Linked DNA regions of Ovis aries. The protein of the gene in region 1 interacts with the protein of each later gene in a biochemical or structural test. Links are inferred from orthologs where the notes say so. Each region holds a gene or a part of one and is shown in the gene's direction. Other genes may lie near its edges.

Evidence for each region.
Region 2: the proteins of CRKL (region 1) and ABL1 form a complex in vitro, tested with the Homo sapiens proteins (4 studies listed by BioGRID and IntAct, with this or other methods). The link is inferred for Ovis aries from reciprocal best matches to the Homo sapiens genes CRKL and ABL1.
Region 3: the proteins of CRKL (region 1) and MAP4K1 form a complex in vitro, tested with the Homo sapiens proteins (2 studies listed by BioGRID). The link is inferred for Ovis aries from reciprocal best matches to the Homo sapiens genes CRKL and MAP4K1.

Annotation. Positions count from the first base shown.
Region 1 is NC_056070.1:72,322,155-72,326,515, forward strand, and holds the start of CRKL (crk-like protein), read left to right. Parts: upstream 1-1,493; 5' UTR 1,494-1,895; coding exon 1,896-2,206; intron 2,207-4,361. UniProt on the Homo sapiens protein: May mediate the transduction of intracellular signals.
Region 2 is NC_056056.1:5,791,571-5,795,155, reverse strand, and holds part of ABL1 (tyrosine-protein kinase ABL1), read left to right. Parts: intron 1-1,350; coding exon 1,351-1,440; intron 1,441-1,788; coding exon 1,789-1,953; intron 1,954-3,585. UniProt on the Homo sapiens protein: Non-receptor tyrosine-protein kinase that plays a role in many key processes linked to cell growth and survival such as cytoskeleton remodeling in response to extracellular stimuli, cell motility and adhesion, receptor endocytosis, autophagy, DNA damage response and apoptosis.
Region 3 is NC_056067.1:47,753,574-47,757,663, reverse strand, and holds the start of MAP4K1 (mitogen-activated protein kinase kinase kinase kinase 1), read left to right. Parts: upstream 1-1,251; 5' UTR 1,252-1,314; coding exon 1,315-1,413; intron 1,414-1,583; coding exon 1,584-1,641; intron 1,642-1,751; coding exon 1,752-1,842; intron 1,843-2,546; coding exon 2,547-2,611; intron 2,612-4,090. UniProt on the Homo sapiens protein: Serine/threonine-protein kinase, which plays a role in the response to environmental stress. Appears to act upstream of the JUN N-terminal pathway.

The DNA of each region.
Region 1 (4,361 bases):
AAACATACACAAAAGTAGAATAATGTAATTAATAGCTCCCCCCGCCACACACACACACACACACACACACACACATTAGCAAAGCAAGCAAAATGGACTAACTTATAGGCAATAATTGTGTAACACTGAAATGAGTCCTGGACTTCAAAAGACCTCCCTGAGTGCCTCTTGCAAAGCATACAACCTATGATAACTTCTCTGAGATATAATTGTGTATCTTTGAGATGCTCACTAAACATTTTTTTTGTATTTAATTTTGTATCTATATGTAAACTTATGGTGATGATAATCAGTTTATGATGTAAGCAAGTCAAGCCATTAAGCTGTACACCTTAAACTTGTACAGTGCTGTATGTCAACTATCTCTCTATAAAACTGAAAGAAAAATTAATATTAGAAGATGAAAAAAATATGACAAGGAATGATACAGTCAACTGGTAAGTCAGGTTAGGATTGGAACTCAAGCCTTCCTCTTCAAATTCTGAGCTATTCAAATTGTGCCCGAAAGTAACACGACGCGAAAGTATTTGGAGGGAAGCTGAAAACCTGCTTTGCTGAGTCACAAAAGGCCCTAGGCCGTGACGATTCCCCTTGAGTTTACCCGGAAGGAACGTCAGCCATCACGCTGCGACAGTGGTCCCCAGCATCCTGGGCGCCAGGGACCCTTCCGTGGAAGACAGTTTTTCCTCGGGGCGGGGGATGGTTCAAGCGCATTCCTTTCACGCTGCACTTTCTTTCTGTTATTCTTACATCGGCTCCACCTCCCGTCATCAGGCACTGGGTCGCAGAAGCTGGGGACGCCTGCCCTACCTACAGTGCAGGACAGGCTCAGCCCAGCAACGAGATCGGCTCCCCAGGAGTCTAGAGCCGGGCTCCGATGCCCCTCTGGACAGGCGCCTCCACCGGCCGGCGGGGGCGGGGGCGGGGGGTCCCCGACAGTCATTCATTCCGCCCAGGTCTGAGATCAGCGTAGGGCGGGGCGAAGAAGCGCCAGGCCCAGGGCTGAACAAGGCGCACCAAACCCCGCTCCCGTGAAACGGACGGTCCGGCGCGGACGGGGGTGCGGCCAGGGGCCGGGGCTTCTGCGGCGGGGGTCCTGGGGGGGCCAAGGCGGCAAGGGCTCCGAGAGGACGCGGGAGCTTCGCCAGCCACCGCCTGAGCACCCGCGGCGGTCGGCCCCGCCACCCCCTAACCTGGCCGGCCCGGCTGCGCACGGCCCGGGGCCGCGCCCGGGGGCCGGGCCTGGCCCGCGCCGCCCGCTTTGTTCCCGGAGCGGGCTCCAGAAGCGCCGCCTCCCCGCAGCGCCCCCCGGCGGGCCCGGGAGGGAGCGCGGCGCCGCGCGCGGGCGGCGCACGCCCGCCCTCGCGATTGGCCGCGCGGCGTGACGTCACGGGGCGGCGCCGGCGGCCGCCGGGAGCGGGCGCGCGCGCGTGCGCAGTCGCGGGGCGCGGGGGGGGGCGGGGGAGGTGGCCGCCGCTGCGCCCGCGGCCGCCATTTTGTTGCTGTGGCTCTCGGGAGCGGGGCAGGGCTCGGCGGCCCCGGCGGCGCGGCGCTCCCGGGCGGTGTGCGGCTCGGCGCGGCCGCGGGGCTCGGTGCGGAGCGGCGGGGACGCGGGGCCGGCCGCGCGCCGGGGCCAGGGCTGAGCGGAGGCGCCGCGAGCCGCCCTCGCCGCGCTCGGCCGGGCCCGCGCCCGGAGCCGGCTGGGCCCGCGCGGCGGCCCCGGAGCAGGCCGGCGGCCCGGAGGATGTTGCGGGCCCGCGGCCGCGAGGAAGGCGCGGGCGCGGGCCTGTAGGCGCGCGGTGAGCCCGAGGCCCGGCCGGCGCGCAGCCGCCGCGGGCGGGGCGCCCCCAGCGCCGGCGAGAGCGGCCCGCCCGGCCCCCCGCGCGCCGCCCGCCATGTCCTCCGCCAGGTTCGACTCCTCGGACCGCTCGGCCTGGTACATGGGGCCCGTGTCCCGCCAGGAGGCGCAGACGCGGCTCCAGGGCCAGCGCCACGGCGTGTTCCTCGTCCGCGACTCGTCCACCTGCCCGGGGGACTACGTGCTGTCCGTGTCCGAGAACTCGCGGGTGTCCCACTACATCATCAACTCGCTGCCCAACCGCCGCTTCAAGATCGGGGACCAGGAGTTCGAGCACCTGCCGGCGCTGCTGGAGTTCTACAAGATCCACTACCTGGACACCACCACGCTCATCGAGCCGGCGCCCAGGTGCGCGGGGCCGCGGGGCTCGGCGCGGCGGCGCCGGCCGGGGGCGCCGTGGGTGAGGGCGGTGCGTCGGGCCCGGCAGCTCGCGCTGCGGGCGCCCAGTTGGAAAAGGGGCGCTTTCTGCCCTTCGTCGCGTCCTCGGTGCAAATTACCTGCTGAAGCAGGGCGTTGCTCCCGGTCTTGCAGCCGGTTTGGGGCCACGGGTTGAGACTCTGAAGCTAGTCTTCGGCTCCCCGCCCCGCGGGCCCCTCCCTGCCCCCCGCCCTCCCGAGTTTGCACCGCTTTCAGGGTCTCTGAGCTCCGGGGTTGGACCTCCCGGACGGCAGCCTTTGGAAACTCTAGAGATGGAAATGCCTTCGCAGGTAGAAACGAAATGCCTTTACCTGTGAAATATCAGGGCCATATATTGATAGCCTGGTGCCAGGGTTGAAATAAGCCAGGCGTCTGTTTTATAACACATTAACTGAAAATACTGTAGAAGAGGTCGGCTTGAACGAGGAATTTTTTTTTTTTAATAGATTTCCCCCAAGCTGGGCCTTTAATGGACTGGAAATCCATTTGGTTAAATTCCAAGGTGGAATGAGTCTAGACTGTTACTAAGAGGAAATTTTGAATGACACTCCACTGAAGATTCTACGCTAGTTGAATTTCAGATGTCCTTTTTGTACTGAGTTGCATGACTTAGTATCTATTTTAAAATAACCCAGAGTGACACTGAGCATTGGGCATCCCTTTTCATTTGGGCTTCATTATTGGCCTTAATATTTTGCTCGAGGCTTCTTTTGTGCAGATTATGCAAAACTTGAGCTAAAGAGATGGCGTAGGGTTTTAAAAATAAAAGGTATTGATCTTTTCAAGCGTCTGCTTAGAAAGGACAGGGTGCTAATACAGGTTTTTTTCAGGGTGAGATGGTTCTGACTTGATAGATCTGCTGACAAGATAGTAGTCTCAGCTCTGAACATGAGAAGCTGTCGTATTAAAGGGGGACGCACTGGATGCTTCTGTGGACTAGAGGTAGAGAAGAATGAAGCCCTCGCGGTGTAATGACCAGGAGGTTAACTGCTGAGCTAAATGGACTTTAAAAGCTGGGAGACAGGGATTATAAATCAGATACTGCGTAACAAAGGCCTAGCCGCGGCGAGTCTGACTGGCGAGGCCTCCAGGTCCCCGAAGAGCCTGGGAGCTAGAGGCAGCGCTCAGCACAGTGTGATTCCAGCGTGAGAGGCTGGGGGCTCTCGGCTCCCGCAGTGGTGAGGCTTCAGCTGCGTTCGCGTAACTGGCTCTTCTGGCTTGTGAAGGTGACTGAGCGCTCTCTCGGGCACTGACTGGGCCTCGCCGCGCGCCTCAGTGCAGCCGTGAGGGAGGGACTCGAGCCCCTCTGGGTGGAGAGAAAGGGGCGCGGCCCTGGCTTCCCAGTGCCCGCAGCCGCCACCCCCAGCTTTCCCTTCGTGCTGCTTCCCAGATGCCCGTCCTCACCCTCTCCCGCCGCCTCCAGGGAGCCCGCGCTACACGCCCACTCGCGCCGGAGGACCTTTGCTCGGGCCCCACCCGCCCCTCACCGGGCGCGCCTCCCTGCCCTTGGGGCCTTTCCCTGGCGCTGCCCCCGCCTCCAGTTGAGCTTTGCTGTTTCTCCGCCCGCTGCCCCGGGCGTCCCGCTGCCGTCGAGTTTTCCTTCCCCTGGTGTCTCCGAGGGCTGCCGCTGCCCCAGTTGAATGAGATCCTGGCAGGATTCACTTGGTCACACTGAACCTGGATCGCCTCTCCCGGAGCCAGAAACCCGCGGATCTGTGTGATGCGCTTATTACTCAGCTAGTGTAGAAGACAAGGCCGGGCCAGCTTTGGCCAAAGGCAAAAATCAGGGCCGTGTGCTTCCACGCCCCAGGCAGGATGGATGAAGTGGTTAGGCTCTTTCAGGCCTCAGAACCGAGCTCCTGAAGCCAGAGCTTCTGCGCTTTGGCTAATAGTTATTTTTTGGGGTTCATTTTGCTCAGTAAAAAGTGACGACTTACTGGCTTCCTCAGAATTTAAGGACTGATCTCTTTTTTTTGTTGGGGGAGTAGCTTTTTTTTTTTGGCCGTGCAGCGTGTGGGAGCCAAAGTCCCTGGCCAGGGACCAAAACTGAGCCCTTGGCAGTGGCAGCTGGGGTCTCAACCTCTGC
Region 2 (3,585 bases), on another chromosome or scaffold:
ATATATAGTATTTTACGTATGAGGGTTTTTTGTTTGTTTTTCATGCAAAAGAGACCGATGGATACCAAGCCTGGGTGGATAAAAGTCACTCAGAATATTTGCCTACTATACAAGAAATTTGCATTTATTAATAAGAACCCCAAGTTTTACAACCCTGTGAGCTGTAGCCCGCCAGGCTCCTCTGTCCGTGGGATTGCCCGGGCAAGAATACCAGAGTGGGTTGCCATTTCCTTCTCCAGGATCTTTCCAACCTAGGGATCCAATTTGCATCTCCTGCATCGGTAGGAGGATTCTCTACAGCTAAGCCACCAGGGAAGCCCATATATATTATGGGCCCTGAAATTTCAGCAATTTACATACACACATACATACACACACACACACACACACACGTGTGTGTGTGTGTTATATGTGTGCGTAAGTGCTACGTGTATGTGTGTTATGTGTGTGTTATAGGTTGTGTGTGTGTAAGTATGTAACGTGTGTGTGCATATATAAAATGTATAAAAATTTATCACCTCAACTTTTTTTTGTACTTAGCAGTGGAACAGGCCTGTGTTTCCATGTCTGTGATTCAGAGCAAGTGCACCCTCTTTCCCCCACTTCCCTGTCTCATATCTTTATGTAGCTGTCTGGCATCTATTGCATGATTTATTCATTCATCCAGTCTGCTTTTGATGAGCATTTGGTTGCTTTACACATTTGTTGTCGTTGTTTTTTTTTTTTTGTCATTATAAATAAGGCAGGAACCAGCACCCTCAAACATAGACCTCTGTGCACTTTGCTAGTACTTCTTGAAGTTGAACTGTTGGTTCAGGGAGCTAAGTGCATTTTAAATTTTGATAGGTTTTATCATCTTTTTCTCAAAAAGGTTATATGAATTGATACTCTCAACAGAAGTTTCTGAGAGGGACTCTATGTCTTCACCTAATGGGATTTAGTCATCCCTTAATCCTCATTTTAACCTTGTTTTAATTAGTACATCTTTTCTGATGAGGAACTTGGGCTTTGATAACCATGAAATAAGGGTAAGGTAGGAAGCAAGCTATTGGCTTTAGTAACTTTCTATGTTTGCTGGAGGCAGGCCGGTAAAATCCTATTTGTAAATGTAGTTGTTGCTGTCAGCCTGTCTCTGGGATTTTAGACTCCGTATTCCTGCCAGTATGTAAAATTTTCTCAAATTCTCAATGTCTGTAATAGGACACAGTGACATTCATCACTTTAACTTGTCATAGCAAAAGATGCTTAAGCAGGATTGGAATGTTAATTCCCAGACTTTCCACTGAGAATGTCTCGTCCCCCCATGTTTGCGAGGCATCGTGGGCAGTCTGACTTGGGTCTCATCTGCAGGTTGGCAGTGGAATCCCTCCGACCGGCCCTCCTTCGCTGAGATCCACCAGGCCTTTGAAACGATGTTCCAGGAATCCAGCATATCAGATGGTAAAGTGCCCGTCCTGGGGGTGCCCGTGGTGGAGAGCGAGGTCGACCTGGGAGGGACAGCCATGTGGGGCCCAGCCCAGGCCTTCAGTCCACTTCCTGCTAGAGCGTGTGGGCCAGCATCTCGCCGGAGACCAGAGAGTGGAGCAGGGGTGCTGAGGGTGGCTTTCCGTCTCTTGCAGCCAGGGTTCTGAAAGTTGCTCAAGTACTGTTTCTTCAGAGTGTGTGTCCCTTTTCTGTAACCGTATATAGTTTACTACTGTTGCCTTAAGAAGAGAAAGCCAACATACCACAATGATACCACTGCTGATGACTGCTGGTTTTGTTCTTAATTTTTTTGGTGTTTCTTAGAAGTGGAAAAGGAGTTGGGGAAGAAAGGCATGCGAGGGGTTGCAGGTACCCTGCTGCAGGCCCCAGAACTGCCCACCAAGACGAGAACCTCCAGGAGAGCTGCTGAGCACAAAGACACCCCCGACATGCCCGAGACACCCCACTCCAAGGGCCCAGGAGAGACTGGTATGTGCCCACCCCCCACCTGCCTCGGGGGCCCCAGGGAGTCAACCCTAAACTGAAAGGCAGGCACATCCCTCATGAGTGGGCCAGCTGCAGAGAGGAAAGTTCTCCTTTTCTCTGCACTCTCTACCCACCCCACCCACGGCCCCCATCAGGTAGGAGCCATTGCTTCCACAGTAGGCAGAGATGTTCATGAAACCTACAGGAACAAGCCCACCTTTTCATGTATCATTCACACTGTTTGTGGTTGTTCTGCACTGTGGACAGATAGAGCAATAATAAACACTGAACCAAACAAAGAGCAGCTCGTTGTGAAAGCACTGATACGAAAAGCTCCCTGGTGCTGATGGAGCCATGAGACCCCCGGGGCAGAGCTGGGGTCCTCATTGTCCCTGAGAAGAGGCTGGTGCTGTCCCCTTGACTAGCGAGGGCGGTGGGAGCACTGCAGGAGGGGTTAACATGAGCAAACATGGACCCAGTGCTTCCTGTGTGCCAGGCTCTGCTCTGAGCAAGGCTGCTCTGGTTTTGCAGTCGCCCCAACCAAAAAGAAAATACAGAAGTATGGATTCCAGAGCAGACCAACTGGGTGGAGATGTCTGCAGTGGGCCAGGTGTCTGGGTTTTAGCTGCCTCTAGGGGATTGCTCTGATGGGCCACATACTCTGGGTGAATGGGAAGGGACAGGACAAAGCCAGAATCTACAAGACCCCATGATTCCAATTTTTTTCATCATGTTCTTGTTCAGTCACTCAGTCGTGTCCGACTCTTTGCGGCCCTGTGGACTGCAGCACACCAGGCTTCCCTGTACTTCACCATTTCCTAGAACTTGGTCAAACTCATGTCTGTTGAATCAGTGATGCCATCCAACCATGTCCTCTGTCGTCCCCTTCTCCTCCTGCCTTGAATCTTGCCCAGCATCAGAGTCTTTTCTAATGAATCAGTTCTTGGCATCAGGTGGCCAAAGTATTGGAGCTTCAGCTTCAGCATCAGTCCTTCCAGTGAATATTCAGGCTTGATTTCCTTTAGGATGGACTGGTTTGATCTCCTTGCTATCCAAGGGACTCTTCACGAGTCTTCTCCAACACCACAATTCAGAAGCATCAATTCTTCAACATTCAGCCTTCTTTATGATCCAACTCTCACATCCATATATGATGACTGGAAAAACCATAGCTTTGACTGTATGGACCTTTGTTGGCAAAATGATATCTTTGCTATCTAATACACTGTTTAGGTTTGTCATAGCTTTTCTTCCAAGGAGCAAGCATCTTTTAATTTCGTGGCTGCAGTCACCATCTTCAGTGATTTTGGAGCCTAAGAAAATGAAGTCTCTCATTGTTTCCCCATCTATTTGCCATGAAGTTATGGGACGCGATACCATGATCTTCGTTTTTTGAATATTGAGTTTTAAGCCAGCTTTTTCACTTTCCTCTTTCATTTTCCTCAAGAGGCTCTTTAGCTTCTCTTCGCTTTCTGCCATAAAGGTGCTGTATCTGAGGTTACTGATATTTCTCCCAGCAGTCTTGATTGCAGCTTTTGCTTTATCCAGCCCAGCATTTTGTATGATGTATTCTGCATATAAGTTAAATAAGCAGGGTAGCAATATACAGCCTTAACATACTCCCTTCCCAATTTG
Region 3 (4,090 bases), on another chromosome or scaffold:
CGCCTCCCACACCAGGCCTAAGGCCGAAGACCCTGCCGGCAAAGCGTCCTCGAGGACCGGAAGAGGAAGAGTTGGTGGAAACGGAAACTACGTAATTGTTTTCTCTCCAGCCCCGCGGTGAATCGTGCTTTGGGTCTAGCTGCGGCTGCCACGCTTTCCGGCTGCCGCGTGACTTCTTCCCAGCCGGCGCAGTTAGCGCGTGCGCATACGCTCTACTCGAGCAGAAGCTACGGCGCGAGAAAAGACCTAGTCTAACCAAGTGCGCAGGCGCCTTCTCGCGGCGAGGGGGCGGGACTAAGCTTTTCCCGGGCCTCGCGTATCCAGTTATAGACCCTGGCGCGTGAGCGCGGACTTAGCGGGAAGTAGACTGATCCGTGACGGCGTGCACGGGCTGTGAACTCAAAACTGCTGGGGTTCCATCAGTACAATCCTTTTGGTCCATGGGCATGTGCCGAAGAAGGTGCCCTCTGAGGTCCCCTTGGCCTCTGAGGAAGGATCCTGAGCTTCGCAGTTTTAAGTCGTGAACCTGGTCCCCCACACTTCACCCTAACGCCGAGGGTAGTGGCCCGCAAAGCTGTTGTGCTCAGCTCGGCAGGGGCGGAGAGAGGGGCTCGTGGACCCCGCTAGATCACGCCCAGTCCCCATAGCTCCAGTTCTGTGGGTGAAGGCGAGCGCTCCGCATGTGGCATCCCTAGTTGTGTGTTCAGATACTGCCCACTGCAAGCATGACTGAACATGCATGTGTCATATGTGTATATGCTCTGGGTATATCCACATACGTGCACACGGGTATCCAGGAGTGTGCACGGCGACTGGCCTGCGCGCCGCACGGGGAGTTACCACTAAGTGCCTGTATGTGTCCCGGGTGAACAATGATGTACATACACTACATGGTCATCCCGGTGTAGACCTGCCATCTCCAGGTTGTGGCCCAACACTCAGCGTTCAGCAGAGGTTCAAATGTTTTTAGCCACTGCCCATAACGGGGGAGGGTGAGGGCACCCTCCAGGTCACAATGAAGATAGTTTGCATCTGGTTTACATGCAGCCCAGGGCCCCGGAGGTGGAGGGGGGAGTCCCCTGGGTCCCAAGGCAAGCTGCCCCTCACAGGCTGTCAGGGCCCAGGGGACAGGGGGTGGAGCCGCTGGCTGCACAGCTCTGTGCCGGGGCAGGAAGCGAGAGTGGGGAGGGGGGAGGCCACAGCCGGTGGAGGCAAGGCGGGTGCAGGGCGTGTGGGGAGGGAGGGAGGTGCCAGCATTCGGAGCCCTGAGGCCCTGCTGGCCCCTGGGCGCAGGCCCAGCTCCGGCCCCCAGGAATGGACCTCGTAGACCCTGACATCTTTAACAGGGACCCCCGGGACCACTATGACCTGCTGCAGCGGCTGGGTGGCGGCACCTATGGGGAAGTTTTCAAGGTGAGGAACCCCCCTCCTTCTCCAACACTCTCAAACCTGTGACCTTGGGGGTGAGCCCCAAGAAGGGATGGGGATGTGAGAGGGTCCCAGTCCTCAGCTTGGCTTCAGGGATGCTGAGGAAGACCTCGGGCAAATGGAGCCTGCCTGACTGCCAACTTCCCCTTTACAAGGCTCGAGAGAAGGGGACAGGGGACCTGGTGGCACTGAAGATGGTGAAGATGGAGCCTGGTGAGGAGAGCACCCAGGTCCTCATTCCCCTGCCCCACCTCCTGGGACCCTGGGATCTCCCCCATACTCCATCCCTGCAGTAGCCTTTTCTCTTCTGCCCCTCCTCGCAGACGATGATGTTTCCACCCTTCAGAAGGAAATCCTCATCTTGAAAACTTGTCGGCACGCCAACATCGTGGCCTACCATGGGAGTTATCTCTGGTGATGAGACCTCCCCTGCCCCCCAGCCCAGCCCCCAACTCCCATTCCTGACCAGCACCCGCCTCCAACCTAACCTCTAATCCCAGACCTCCATTTTTAACTGAGGCTCCTAACTTAATCCCCAGCCCGAAGTCCCACTTGTTTGACCAGAGCACCTCCAAACCTCATCTCCAATAAATAACTAGCATTTCTCACTAAATTGATCCCTTTGTGGTAACCAAATGTGAAACCAAGTCCCTCTAAAACTGATCATCGTCCTGACTTGCAGGTCCCCCAGTTTCACTTTCTGTTCCTTTAACATGAACCCCTAATTTCCCTGACCCTTGAATATCCCAGATGCCCCAAGAATGATCTCTGCCCCCCGGCCCTGGCATCCTGGGCTCCTCTGTCCCCTCTGAACTTCCACAACCTGTGAAGTCTCTGCCCTGTCTCCTAGGTTAGCATGGGACAACAGAGAACGTCATGGTAGGAGCCCAGGCACCTGGGTTTGGTCCAGTTGACCCTAAACATATATTTTCTTCTTTGAGCCTCAATCTCCCCATCTGTAAAATGGGATGATCTCACTCTGGTAGACAATAGAGAGATGACACCTCTTACATTCAAGTTCTTGTTGAACTAGGATAGGATGGACAGTGAGCCAGAAACTGTCCTATAAATAATGATTTATTACTGCTATTATTATTCTTGCTCTTGAACTGTTGTAGGCTGCAGAAACTCTGGATCTGCATGGAATTCTGTGGGGCTGGTTCTCTCCAGGACATCTACCAAGGTGAGTGGCAGGGCGAGGAGATCCAGGCAGCCCTTGGCCCTCCAATCCACCTGTCCTGTCCCTCTATCCTTGCGTCTCCGGGGACTGTCTTTCTGGTCTGTATTTCACACAGAGCCCCTCCTCTGGACCAGGCCTGGCCTGGAAGATGCTGGGGAGACTGTGGTACCCAAGCGGGCCCTGAACCCTGTATCCTTCAGGACCTGAGAGTCCAGCTCTATTTTTTCTGCAACGATCCCGACTTTCCCTGCCCCATCTTCCCCCTGTGCCTGCATTTTCTCACCAAGGTCTATTCATGCCTTTGAGTATTTCTGCATTTCTAGCTCATCGTCAGGGCCCATCTGTTCATTTAATGAGTGAATGCATTTCTGATTCACTCAGCCTGCTTTTCACTGTCTTGGAGCACTGGAGGGTGGGGGCGGGGTGGGCCTTGATCAGATTTCTGATGTGCACCTCTATCTTTGACCATCTCCCAGTCTCCCAGTCTCCCTCCAGCCCTAGACCTCAAAGGTCAGGAAAGGAAGGACTTCATGAAGAAGTCCTCAGGGCGGGTGGGGGAAACTGAGGCCCACAGAGAGGAAGTGACTCACCCCACCAGCCCGTCAGACCAAGTCTCTGACCCCCTCAGTCTGCTGTCTCTCTCTGGTGTATTCTCACCCCTTTGTGTCTTTCTCAATGTGTCTCTTTTCCCAGTTTGGGGTGTCTCTGCCCATGTCTGTCTCTCTCTGCCTCAGCTTGGGTCTGTTCCTGATTCTCTATCTCTTCCCGTCTCTCTCTGCCTTTCCTTGTTCTACAGAGTGACATCACTCAGAGCTGTCCCATGCCCTCCATCCCCTCCCCCCCCCCAAAGCGAAGCCCAAGTTTCTCAACACTGCCCCTGAGTCTGACCCCCGCTGACAATCCCAGGCTGGCGCCCTCTCCCTGCTCCACCCACGCCTCTGCTTTCCAGCCCCACCAGGGACACTCCCCTGCTTCTGGGCCTTTGCACTTGCCTTTCCCTTTCCGAGGGGGACTGCTCCCCATCTCCACCCCCGCCGCCTTCTCGGGGTCGCCTTCACTGATCAACCTGTATGAAATGTCATACTCCTTCCCACACATATTTCCCACACATATTTCCTGTTATCTTTTCTTGCTTAATTTTTCTTCTCACTATTTATTGGCATCTCGTGTATCATGTATCTTACCTGTTTATCTTGTCTGCCATCCGTCTCCTGTGCTAGAGCGTTCTCTCCACGGGGGCAGGGATCTCTGCCTCTTTTGTCCACAGCTGTATCCCTGCTGCCTGCCACAGTGGCTGGCACACAGTAGACATGCAGCAAATAATCACGTTGAATGAATCTCTCTGGTTCCCTGCATCACTGCCTCTCTCTGTTGCTGACTGCCTCTCTGCCTCCTCCTCCCACCTGTCCCATCCCAGTTCTCCCCTCCCTGTGTGGTACCCTCTCAGCTGGTGTGGGTGGTGGCCAGGGGTCTGGCCTGCAC